Linked DNA regions of Drosophila melanogaster. Changing the gene in region 2 together with the main gene of any one other region gives a genetic interaction. Each region holds a gene or a part of one and is shown on either strand. Other genes may lie near its edges.

The links. Genes that interact genetically often act in the same process or in processes that back each other up.
Region 1: of tub (region 2) and wek, changing one enhances a phenotype caused by changing the other (phenotypic enhancement), as found in Drosophila melanogaster (one study listed by BioGRID).

Annotation. Positions count from the first base shown.
Region 1 is NT_033779.5:15,765,633-15,771,397, forward strand, and holds wek (weckle), read right to left. Parts: upstream 2,718-5,765; 5' UTR 2,600-2,717; coding exon 2,474-2,599; intron 2,414-2,473; coding exon 1,508-2,413; intron 1,448-1,507; coding exon 1,101-1,447; intron 1,037-1,100; coding exon 1,003-1,036; 3' UTR 501-1,002; downstream 1-500. Other genes in the region: CG3793 (uncharacterized protein), read left to right, coding at 43-79; Ku80, read right to left, coding at 3,107-4,739, 4,799-4,921, 4,977-5,209, 5,265-5,360, 5,418-5,432; CG31826 (uncharacterized protein), read right to left, coding at 5,712-5,765. UniProt on the Drosophila melanogaster protein: Acts as an adapter to assemble/stabilize a Toll/wek/Myd88/tube complex; required for efficient recruitment of Myd88 to Toll. Dispensable for innate immune response; plays a minimal role, if any, in the immune defense against Gram-positive bacteria and fungi.
Region 2 is NT_033777.3:4,384,785-4,391,420, reverse strand, and holds tub (tube), read right to left. Parts: upstream 3,680-6,636; 5' UTR 3,492-3,679; coding exon 3,029-3,491; intron 2,963-3,028; coding exon 2,037-2,962; 3' UTR 1,608-2,036; downstream 1-1,607. Other genes in the region: CG14646 (uncharacterized protein), read right to left, coding at 1-310, 363-995; Cont (contactin), read right to left, coding at 4,659-4,952, 5,008-5,141, 5,203-5,371, 5,428-6,300, 6,364-6,530. UniProt on the Drosophila melanogaster protein: Plays an essential role in the Tl receptor signaling pathway that establishes embryonic dorsoventral polarity; the signal directs import of dl into ventral and ventrolateral nuclei, thereby establishing dorsoventral polarity.

The DNA of each region.
Region 1 (5,765 bases), on a different chromosome or scaffold from region 2:
GTTTAATCAACATGATTTTTTCTTTCCTCTATTTCCATGCAGCGTCGAAGAGTTAATGTCCTCGCTGAACATTGACTAGGAGTGAGTGAAGGTGGAAGGGATAGAGAGCCAACCTACTTGGATGCACTATTTATTGACTCTGCTCGGTTTGGAGGAAGGCCATGCCAAAATATTTTGCTTCTCAACGTGTTAACCTAAACAGCAAGTAATTAAAGAGAAACCATCGAAATCAAAACATGTTTAGATATTTATCCTACACAGAGACCCACTCACAAATGATCTAATTTGTATTAATTTAGTTGTTCCTTATATTTTTTTCTCTTGTTACATTTTTATTATTTAATCGCTTAATATTTACTATTTTATCACCGAGTTGTGGCACAAAATATTGATAGGTGATCAATATGCCATTCATTCATTCCCCAATTTAAGTGTGCGTTTAAATTGTAAATGTATTTTGAAATTATTAAAAAAAAAACCAACTTAAATGCAAAAAGGGCCGTTGTGTGTTTAATTAGGTGTCAATGTATCTGGTGTTAGCACGAAGCATTTACATTTGCTGAGTTATAATTTCAAACTGATTTTATTGTGAATAAGCCCTTGGAATTATCTACAGACCAACTTGTCGCAATCTAGTGAACCATGCGTGGGAGTTCTATGAATAGCGCTCATCTTTAAAATATGCTGCAACCGCTCACAGGAGTTTCAATTGAGTGTTTCAAAGTGTACGCATAATTTGGTGTCACAAATTACAATTGTTATTTTTAAATCTACATTGTGAGTCAAACAATTATTATCTTTTATACAATGTCATTTTCATGTGTGAACACATTTCCCAATTTAAGTGTGCGTTTAAAAAGTGAATTTATTTTGAAACTTATTAAAAACCAATTTAAATGCAAAAAGGGCAGTTGTGTGTTTAATTAAGTGTAAATGTAAATGTCTCTGGGATAAAATTTTACTGCGCACTGCTATTTATACATTTTTGTCAACCAACATGGTCTAATCCTGTTTGGCCTTGGCCATCTCGCGAGTTCTGCAAACCAAAAATTTAGTACAATAGTAAGCTAATAATAATAATATGCATGACTATAGCTTACATCGCTCTCAGTTCTTCCAATGTTGGCACTGGAACACGTGAAGATTCGGTTTCATCCTCCTTGGACGCCAGTTCCGGATGTTTTTTCCATTTGTGGGAGCGACAGTTGGTGTTGCTGGCGAACGCCTTTCCGCAGTACTTGCATACGTAGGGTCTGAGGCCGGTGTGTCCAAGGAGATGGATCTTCAAGGCCGTGGAGTTCTTACAGCCGCTGCCACAAACCTCGCACTTGAAGCGCCGCTCATCCGTGTGCACATACTTGTGCTTGTTAAGAATCGCCCGTGTCTGCAGCTTTTTGCCGCAGACATTGCACTCAAACTTGGGCTCACCATGTGTCTGACTGTGCACCTGGAAATTGTATACAAATTTCAAGATTTAGTTGGTCCACAAGATTATTCGATGACTTACTCTCAGCCTAGCTTTGTTCTTAAAACCAGCATTGCAGACGGGGCATATACAGGGCTTCTCTTCCGTGTGAACCAGCTGGTGCTCCACCAGCGATGTGAAGGTCTTCAAACCCTTTCCGCAGTGATCGCAAACGTATTTCTTCGGACCGCCGTGCATGTCGTGCTTGTGCCTGCGCAGAGCCATGAAGGACATAAAGGTTTCGTTGCAGATTTTGCAGGGATAATCGACGAAATTCGAACTCTGGGAGCCATGGGGTGACATGCTCAATTCGGATGTCTTGTCATCTTGTTTGGATTTAGCATTGTCGTCTGGTTCGCGGGAAGTTACGTTATCGCTGTCGTCCACGTTTTTCTGTTTGCCTGAGCCCTTGGGTCTGCCTCTTTTTCGCTTCAAAGGCGGCGGGGATACGGCCTCGTCTTCGTCTAGAATGGCCTCCTCATCATCCGACTCGGTTGCAGTGTACACTTTGGAATTTCGCTTAGCCGCAAACTGCTGTCGGCGACTTCGTTTTGTTTCAACTTCAGGAATTGATGCAGTAGGTGAGGCTAGCACTTTGGGATCGGAATTACACTGTTTGAGATTAGCTCGTGTTCGCACGGTCTGTGCTTCAAAATCGGGTGACGGAGATGTGGAATGGTCTGATATCGTTAGCTCCTCTACCAAGGAACACCTATCCTCCGTATCGTCTATGTCCAGGAACTCGAGGTCCTGCTTGCAGGCCGGCGGAAGGCCGTATTCCAGACGCAGGGCGTCCAAGTCCTGGCTATCCTGCGGCTCCGAGTGTCGCAGAAGCTCAAAAATGGCTTGTACTTTGGAAACGCTATCCGAGAAGGTGATCAGCTGGCCAATCACCGAGTAGCACTCCTCGCACAACATGCTGCCCAGTTCCGGTTCCTCGAGGGTCATCTGCGTGTGTGGAAAACTAATGTATAAGCTATCTGTAGGCTGGGAAAACGAATAACATACCTCCACATCAAAGCATTTGCTGATAATCCTAACCAGATCGTCGTCCCGCTCGCGCACTTTGTATACAACGTCGTCGCGGGCGCACAGGCGACACCAGTATATCCAATCGCTTGTGGGAACTCCCATGGCTAATCCTCAACAGAAGCCCCACAGTTTGGTACAGTATGCCCTCGGGTTTTGACTAAATTCTATTGCCAAAGCGCTGATTAAAATCAGCTGTATGGAGCGGAATTCCGAATCGATTAATTGGTATGCGCACTCCGATGATTTTTGGAAATATCGATAAGTGCAAAACAACAAGTTGTTGCCGCCATTTTCAAAAAGTATTCAGTTTAAATTTGGAATTGAAAATTGTATTTATTTTACTTTTTTTTCTCAATCATAAGAAGTATTACTAACGTTTTCCTTCCTGCGTGTCGATGTTTATTAACATAGAGATGTATTATCATCATCATTTGGATGTGGTTTCCCAGGGATATAATGTTGTTTTTAAAACATGCGACCGAGTTTTTACTCTGGTATATATATATAAACAATATAATAATTTATTTTCGACTTACATATAAGAAAAACTGTGTATAACAAAAACTAATTTTAGCACATTTGCTTAATATAACAAAATGGAATGATAAACTACATCTCAACGTCTTCCATATCGTTCGCCCCACTCTCCACCCAATTCTCGATGGTGTAATAGGCTTTTAGAGCCAATTCGTCGTCCAGCGTCGGCTCGCCAAGCACCAAAGGGCCCAATTGCTTGTCGACCATAACGTCTTGCCAGAATTCGCTGCGATTCTTGGCCAGCGCGATCTTCTTCAGCTCCTCAGCGAACTTGTCGTATTCCAAAAAGGTGTTGAAGTCTATACAGCTCTGTCGGTACAGGGTGATGAGCTCGCCCAGTTGCCCGATGTTCTGTTTCCTGCGCTGCAGCAGTGTGATGATCACCACGCGGGTATCGGCAGCCAGCGCCTGAAAGCGGGCATCTCGCTCAGTGGCATTACTGATTGTGTGAACGCTAGCCAGGACTCGCCTGAAATCAGAGATTGGATCAATTAAGCCCACACCGTCTGATGGCAACGGGATTTCCTTCTCCGCTGGTTCCGACTTGACTGCCACACCATTCTCTGCCTGCTCCTTGGCCAACAGCTTTTCCTGCCAGGCGCGACTATAGCGCAATGGAAATAGCTTCTTTACGATGGCTGCCGCTCTCTTTGACTTCTCCTCCAAGGGATCTGGCACTCGCCAGAATACATCTGCGAAGTTTTTGTCCTTAAGCATTTTGTCTTCCTTGTCGTTATCATAGATAACTTTTCGCTCTAGGATGTCCATGACATTCTGCTCAAAGATGCTGGGAAGTGCGTCGAACGGCAGCAGATCATTCTGCGCCCACGGACGTGGCTGCTGCGTGTCCCGCAGTGTGCACTCCAGATCGGTGCTATCGATTAACTGATCAATGGCATTCAGCTGTTCCTCGCTGCACTCCGTCTTGGTGGTTCGCAGTGCCGGAAAGTCCCAGAAGTGGTGCTGAGACGTATAGGAAACTTCCAGCATATACAAAGTAGCCGGATGGGTATCGTCTGCTAAGCGGGGCAGTAGCACAACCATTTGCGGTCTATTAAACTTGGTGCTATATATTTTCCAGCACAGTATGGCCCGATCCGAAGAAACGAGAGCACGCACCAGAGCGTCCAGCTTCACGGCGGCAGATTGATTGTGCTTCTGATGCACCAGGAGGTACAAGGACTCGCCACAAAAGTACTCATCCGGCACGGCATTTCTTTTGATAAAGCCAAAGAAGTGGAGACCAGGTGGGTGTGGTTCCTTTGGCTCTAGCACGGCCTCGTCGTATGGCACCGGAGTGCCGCCCAGCATGTAACCGGTTATCAGATTCTCCGGCAGCGGGGTGATCTCAGTGCCTTTGATATAATGACGAGTCTCCCGTATCACTATCTCATCCTTTTCCGCCCAGACCTTTACCAGCTTTACGGGCGTCTGGTTCTTCATGGCGATTATGCCCTGCAGGCTAATGGAGATCTTGCTGCCGATGTTCAGCTTTGCGTTCCACACCCAGGGTCGCCGGTTGGTCACCTTGAAGACGGTATGCAGTGCCTCCTTGAAGCTGCACAACGTCGCATTGCAGCGAGGAACGAGACTGAGGGCGTACTTCTGGTTATTCAGCTCATCGGGGCCGCATTTGCGCGAAAAGTTGAAAATAGCCTGAGGCTGAGAAGTGATGGCATTGTCTATGTAGGCTATGTTGTGAGTTCTAAGTGATAATGTAAATTATTATTACTATTATGCATTTAACAAAATAAATAATCTTACCCCACAATTAACTCGATGTTTTCGCCAAGTAATTCGTCCGTGATTTCGTTGAACTTCTCGTAGTCCTGTGGAAAGTCGTTGAAATCGAAGAGCAGGAGGATCCTCCGCCTGGCGACTCTCAAGCTGCAAGGAATATTCCATAAAATGTGATGGTTAGATGATAAGGTAAGTCACATACGTAGTTGCGACATTCTGAAGCTCCAGGGCCGCCTGTAGACCATTTAGCCATTCTCCATCCTCGCAGGCTGTCTTATTCACAAACTGGAAGAATTCCAGCAAGAGCTGCCAGCTGCAAAGTCTTGGTTCACCAAAGGGCAGCACATTTGGGTGGGAAGCATCCTCAGTTTTTATTTCATCGGTGTCGCAACCCACGAGGACGAAGGACACGTAGTCCTTCCTATCGCACACGATCTGCAATTGTTTCAGTTAGCATATTTAACTGAGTTCCCAATTGTATTTCACACACCTTGTCCTTAAGAATCTCCGCCACACATTTTGCGGACTTCAGCTTCACTTCTTCGGCGGCACATGTTCGCACATCCAGTACAATTATAAGGCATTCCTGGAAATCAAACAATGGAGATACCTTAACATTAAATGCGATTATTTGTGAACCTACCTTGTTAGAAGCCATCAAACAAGTTTATTTACCTAAATTCAGCGACTATGTTTTTAAATTTCACAACAATAATACCATTCAGTCGATAACAGAAAACACCGGCGGCTTACTGACCTAATGCACTACCACCTATCGCTTATCGATATTTCTAGCACCGCGTTGCCAACTTACTTGCTAACTGTTACTTTTCATAAAAACGAAATGCAAAATTTTGTTTTAATTATAAATAGTCAATATATTTGGTTCGTGCTCAAAATACTAATAAAATAGTAAGCAATAGTTCCCCATATCTCCCTATGCCTTTCCGTAGGTCTGCAGCTTTTCCAGATACTCCGCATTCTGGCTCAG
Region 2 (6,636 bases):
GGATCTTGGTGTTTGGTTCGTTTAGCATGCAGGCAAAACACTTTTCCGTAGTAGCATCATCTGGAAAAATGGGATTTTGGGCGACTTGCGCCTTGAAGACGTCCACAAAACGGTCTATAACATTGCGGTGTAACTGAATGTTGGAGGGAATTGCGATTGGTCGTCGGACTCGGTTCTCTAGATTCCTAAACTCCAGGGCATTAATTCGTATGTGGAAGTCGCTCACACCCTGCCTCATTGGCCGTACAATAATGCTTATCATCTGCAAGGTGTCGTTTTGGTCTTGATGCGATATGTTGTAAGTTTCTGCCTGCGGACAAAATATTAGGGTCGCACATACAAAGGAATCGTGTACCACTGACCTTAGCTACGCTAAGCGACGTGTTGCTCTGATGGGCGAAGTGAACATTGTACATGGTGGTTTTTATTATCCAGTTCTGCGTGGCAATCACCGAGCTAATGGAATTTAGCTTCTTCTTGTATATTTCCGGTTGCCGGAACTCTATACCAATTTCGCTAGCCACGGCACTGTAGCTGCCCGGCGTGATGGAGTACTTGGAGAGCGCCTTGCTGATCGGGTGCCGACGCCAGTTTTCCTGGTGCCAGTTGAAGATCAGAGCGGGCATCGCCAGAACGGCCAACACACTGAACCGCTGGGCGGTTTTCCACGTAAGCGTTTTAAACGCTACCGCTTCCTGGGGCATGGGGAAATCCGGGTCCAGGTCGAAGTCCTCCAAGGGCTCCTGCGTGGCGAAGACGGAGAACTTGAGCCTATGAATAAGAAAGTAGGAGAAGGGCAGACAGGAGTGCACGAAGAGATTCAGCGAAGTACGGCGCTGGTGGTAGCCTACAAAGTCCAGGTACTCTTCTCCCAGGAACCGAGCGAACAACTGTTCAATGGTGAATCCCAGGCGTTGGAACTCCTCTGGCGGGTAGATGATCACCATGCACAACAGAATATAAAACAGATTGAATAGCAGCTCCGACTCGTCCATGTTGCGAATAATTTCGGATTTTGTTTGGCTCAGTGGTTTCGTCGAACACTAGAGGTGTCCAACAAATTCCCGATTATTGTTCTTAAGATATCGATATTATGAATGGTACGCGATAGCACGGGACCAATATCGTACCGCGCCCGCCATAGCAAATGAGAATTTAAATAAAAACAAGGTGCGAGACATTTTTAATTGTCAGCAGTTTGAAGATCGACTATTCTGCGTGCCACGGGCACGGGGCATTAGAGCAAATGTGGAGTAATACTGTTTGCTGTTTCGAACAACAAAAATAAAACAATTAAAATCAAAAATTTGCAGTTATACGGAAAAGGCAATGGACATGTCATCCGAGGAGAAAGGTAAGTGTACATTTTGGAACGGACAACAGTGTATTAATTTAGTAACTAAACGAAACTAACCTGTGCACATAAATAAAATAGTACAAAAATTACATACAAAATGCATTCGTTCATTTGAAAAACCTAAAGTTTTTTCACCGAGAAAAAACAGTCGCCTTAAACTCTTGAACTTACAGCCCTGAAAAAGGCTTTGACTTAAGCGGTCATGTGGTATATTATCAGTATGAACGTCGAGAAAAACAGACAATGTTTTCAAAAATATTTTATTTGTATTTAGCCATTATATCGTACTTGTGAAATATTTTAGGCAACAATCAATTAATAACGAAAAATGTCATAAGATCGCAGTTTGTCCCAAGACAAAACTGTCACAGAAACCCATTATGCGTTTAAGGAAATTTATACTAGAAAATGAAGGAGTATTTCGTAAGTATACAAAATTTGTTAAATTTTGGTATTGGGTTATGGCTTTCTTGAAACGGAAATATTTGATATTGCCGTACTTGTCATGTACTGTCACGATTACAGACGTGATATGAACAAATCGTGCACTGAATCTTAGATTCTAGTTGGACCTCATGCATAACATAAGAAGGTCCACACCCAGCTGCCAAATGAATACATCTGGGTTGCATAAGTTATCGAACGGAATGTCATCTCCGCCGATGGTCGGTGCTTTTATCTATTGCTGCAGCTCACTCAAGTCTGGAATGTTGCAAGCGTAATCGTCGTTTGAGGTGGAGCTGGAGTCGTTGGTTAGCTCAAAGCTGTTATCACCACTGGTGCCAGTAACCGTTGTCAGGCTGGAGTCATTGTTTGAGCTCTGCTGCTCTGAGTTACTCAGATTTGGCAAGAAGGCATCTGGGTACTCTTCCTCTCCATCCTCCTCACCATCGTTATCATCGTCATCATCTTTGCTCAAGCTGCTGGAGCTGCTTCTGCTCTCAGGACGCAAGGTCTCCCTGCTGCCTTTACTTATATTCAAGGCGCTTATCATTGGCAAGTTGTTTGAGCTCGCCGTTGATGTGGTAGCCGTTGAAGCTTTCGCTGGAGCGTGATTTGGTCGAGAGTTTACATCTCCAGAATTATCAATTAAAAGAGTGATTCGCGGAATGTTAGGCGGATCCGTTGAGCTAGTTCTGTTGCTTGGGTTGTCCGACACAGTTGCCCGCAAATCACCAGAGTTCGAAATGAGTATAGACAGATCGGGGATGTTCATCGGTCGTGGCTGCAGCACTGGCTCCTGAATTTGTTCGCTGGGATTGAGAATTGTCAGATTGGGCACATTCGGGATGGTCGTCGACGTAGTTCCGGTGCCTGTCAATGTTGCAAAGTTGGAGTTAGTAGTACTCCTTTGCTGTCGTCGAGGTGGCGCTATGGGAGGGGTGTTTCCTGACGGCTGGGGCACACTCTTGTCCCGCCTCACAATGTCTTTTTCAAAGTTGTCCAGGTTCAGGCCAACGCTACCTTGAGCGTCTGCCCCAAGAGTGGCAGTGCTTGACTGGTATTTGAGGCTCAGCCCCTCGTTGTCCACTTCCATTTCCTCTTCCAGCAGCTCAAGGCTTATGAGCGCACCGGGACCGTCAACAGGCCGGGCAGGGGTGGACTCTAGAGAAGTCAGTGGATACACTTTTTTTAGTTTTGTCAGTTTAAGGCAAACATAGTCATACTTGCCATTTAGGAAGTCTAGTGCCACAAAGTCTGCCGCACTGAAGAGCTCTGCCTGCACCAGAAGTTGGAGCAATACCCCAACCGTGGGCCGCTCGTTGAGCTTGCCAGAGGTCTTCCACTCGTCGATCATCATCTGCGACTTGCTTTGGTCCGGCGGTAGTCGGTTTGCAGCCTCGTCAATCTGGAACACGTCCTGCGCAGTGTACTTAAATCCCTTTTTGATTTCCGCCGGAAAATTCAAGCATCCGGCTCCGCTGCAGGCCTGCACATCCATGCCCTTGGGTATGATCGACATCAATTTGCGCCAGCATGAGTTCTCATCTAGTATTTTGGCAAGCCGGTAAATGTCATTGTCCTCAACGCGTCGCAGCTCCGTGTTGCGAGAATACTTCGAGGATAAACCTATGGCGCCGTTGCTTCCGTTCACCTGCACGCCCATTCCGCATCCGTTCCAGCCATACGCCATGGTGTTCCCTTAGCTACCCAGGATAACCTTACGGGAAAGCCTTTGCCTGTGGCAGGTCGATGGTTCAAGTTCCCAGATGTCCAGTGCGATTGTATGAGATTTCCGCTATAAAACCATGTTTGCATCTATCTTCTCTCTCTATGTTTTTGCCAATGCCCACAGCTACTGCTCGCTGCTCGCAGTATTTCAGTGTGACCGAGGAGGACCGCAGCACCATATTAGATTCGTCATGTAATATTAGGGGGATTCCCGAAGCCGATTGGTATTGTGTGGTATTTCCGTATGCGGAAAATAGCTAGCCATTTGCAATACTGCACTAATTTTTAACGCAAAGTAAGAAAAAACCAAACTTTTTTTTTCATTAATGACATATTCCGGCGTTGTGAGCAATAAATGTAACCCCACCGATAGATGGCTTTCGTTTGTAATTGTAGAAGAATACCGGGTACCTGGTAGAAAGGAAATTCGAATAGACATTTACGTATACATATATATAAGTATTAAATATTCTTAATCAGTAAAAACAGACAAGTCGATATAGCCATGTCCGCCCGTTTTACGCGGGCGATGAAATAGCAGCAAAATAAATAATCGAAAAACCAAAAATAAACACTTAGTTCTTAGTTCTTTTTGATATTTTTGGACAATAATTAATTTTGATTTGTGATAGTTTCTGAGATCTCGACGTCCATAGGGACGGACATGGCCAGATCGATCCTGATCAAGACCTCTTCTACCTGCTACATATTTTTTAACTAGTCTGGTATACCCTTTTACTTCACGAGTATCGGGTATAAAATGCAGGAGTAGTATTACCAGGTGAACAAAAAGGGACATAAATATGGCCAACCGGGGCACACGTTCATAATTAATTCATAATTCATTATTCCAAGTAAAAAAATAGGGATATTGTTATTTTTAGTTCAGCAACATACTGGACCATATAATGGTATTCATATTTATTTTGTTGATAAAATTTTAGAAATTATTTTTTGATAAAAGTCTATAAAATGGACGGAATTGCATTTGTATCAATTAAGGGGCTTGCAAGAGAGCACGGATGGAATGTAGTTCTTTTTATAACTTCACTTACTCAAATATAAGGTCACTTCTTAGTATATGTATGTTCTTACTGCCTAAAGTTATGGATCTTAATTTGTGCTGCATTCATTGGCTTGTGTAAAGAAAGGTGCTAATGAGTAGCAATGTGCTTAAGATAAGAGCCGTATTGATATTGTGGCCATGTCGGGTATTTGCGCCGTTGCGCGTGGTCTTGCCCATCTGGAAGTGTAAAGTTGGACTGGACATGCGACCGTCTCCTCCATTGCTGTATGCGAGGACTCGCATGTTGTAACTCTTCCCTGGCGTCAGATTGTTGATGTACGACTCCAGTTTCTGTCCGATTGGCACTATGGTATTGTTGGCCGTAATCATGTTCTGGTCCGATTCCCAAATGCGAACCTAGAAAGTTTCAAACTGTAATCGATTTTCTTGGTCACGGTGCCGGGAGTTGTACCTTATAACCCTCTACTGGTTCCTCGTCTTGCGAAGGTGAAACATATCTCCAAACAACCCGCACGGTAGACGGGTTTATTCCATACACGTGAACCGAAGATGGCGGCTTTTGCGGGGCCTTTCTATATGTTCGTTCTAAAAAGCATGGTGTTTAAGCATTTTCTTTAAATGGTTTTTTAAACTGTTCGTTACACACCTTCAAAGCGTTCGCTTTCAGGTCCTTCACCTGCAGCATTGTAAGCCATGACTTTAACAAAGTAGTAAGTATCTGGTTGTAGACCTACGATAAGCGCCCAATTCCTTGTAGTACGTGACAGGTAGTATACCGAGTCTTCTTCCTGGTGCGTCGTTTTCCAATACTTCAACTGGTGAAAGATAAGGGTTTTTGACAATGCAATGGAATTAAGTGCAGTAACCATACCCTGTGGCCAATGAGTTTGCCACGAATGTTTTCACGGGACATGTCTATAGGTTGCCAAGTGACATTAAAGCATGTGGAGTTGTAGGCGAGCGCAATGGGCTTTTGAGGAGCCACCTGTGGCATGTCCTCAGCGGAGTGTATGACAGCTATTTCACTCTCCGGTCCCTTGCCAACACTGTTAATGGCTTGGACTTTGACTTCGTACTCCGTATAGTAGTTATTAAGAGGAATATTAACCACAGCCACGCCCATGTGATCCTGTTTTTTTATTTCGTCAGATGCCCATTCAATGGCTCCCTTGAGCTTCCAAAACACTTTATAGTGTATGCCGTGGCTATGCTGCTCTTGCGGTAGAAGCGGATCCCAGGTGATAGTTAGGTCGCCAATCTTTCCACCTCCACCACCCACGTTCCTCGGGGCTATGTATGGTTTGTCCTCATAGGTGCTGTAAATTGGCGAGGGGGCCGAGGGCGTTCCGATTCCCAGATCGTTTACAGCAGTAACACTAAATTCGTAAGCCGACCACGGCGTCAGATTGACAACCTCGGCTTGCTGGCGAGAGGTGTATCGATCTACTTCTCGCGCCTGCACATGGGTCGACACATTAACCCAGGTGCGATTCCAGTTTGTACGGCCTAGGATGTTGTAGTAGCGGATCGCACGACCGTTGTGCGATCCGTCCACCCACTCAATGATGGCCTTCGTTTTACTTATCTGTATGACTTGAACACCACCAGGAGCGCCAGGAGCTCCCTCAATAGAAACACTGGTCTTGCTGCTAATTTCGTTTACCGCCGACTTGACAACGCATTCGTAGTCCCCGGCATCGCGCATGCTCGTGTTATGCACTGTCAATCTGTTCCAATCTACAATCTGCAATAACAAAAAGGTTAATATAAGGACAGGTTTAGTGCAGATTTCAGAACATTAACTTACAATGCGTCCGGTGCCGTCGTGATTGTTTTTTAGGACTTCGCCGTTGTGTTTCCAAACATAAGCAATGTCGAGGAGTTCATCAAAGGCGGCCTCGCAATGCAAGAAGATTAAGTCGTGTTCCTTAGAAACGATTCGTTGTGGAGGCGTTTCAATGAAACGAATTTCCTCTGTAAATATTTGAATAAATAGGTTTACATAAGTCTTGATAAAATTTCAAGTATTTAAATACTAAATTAGTTTATTATGTATTAGTCATTTTACTCTTACTATGCT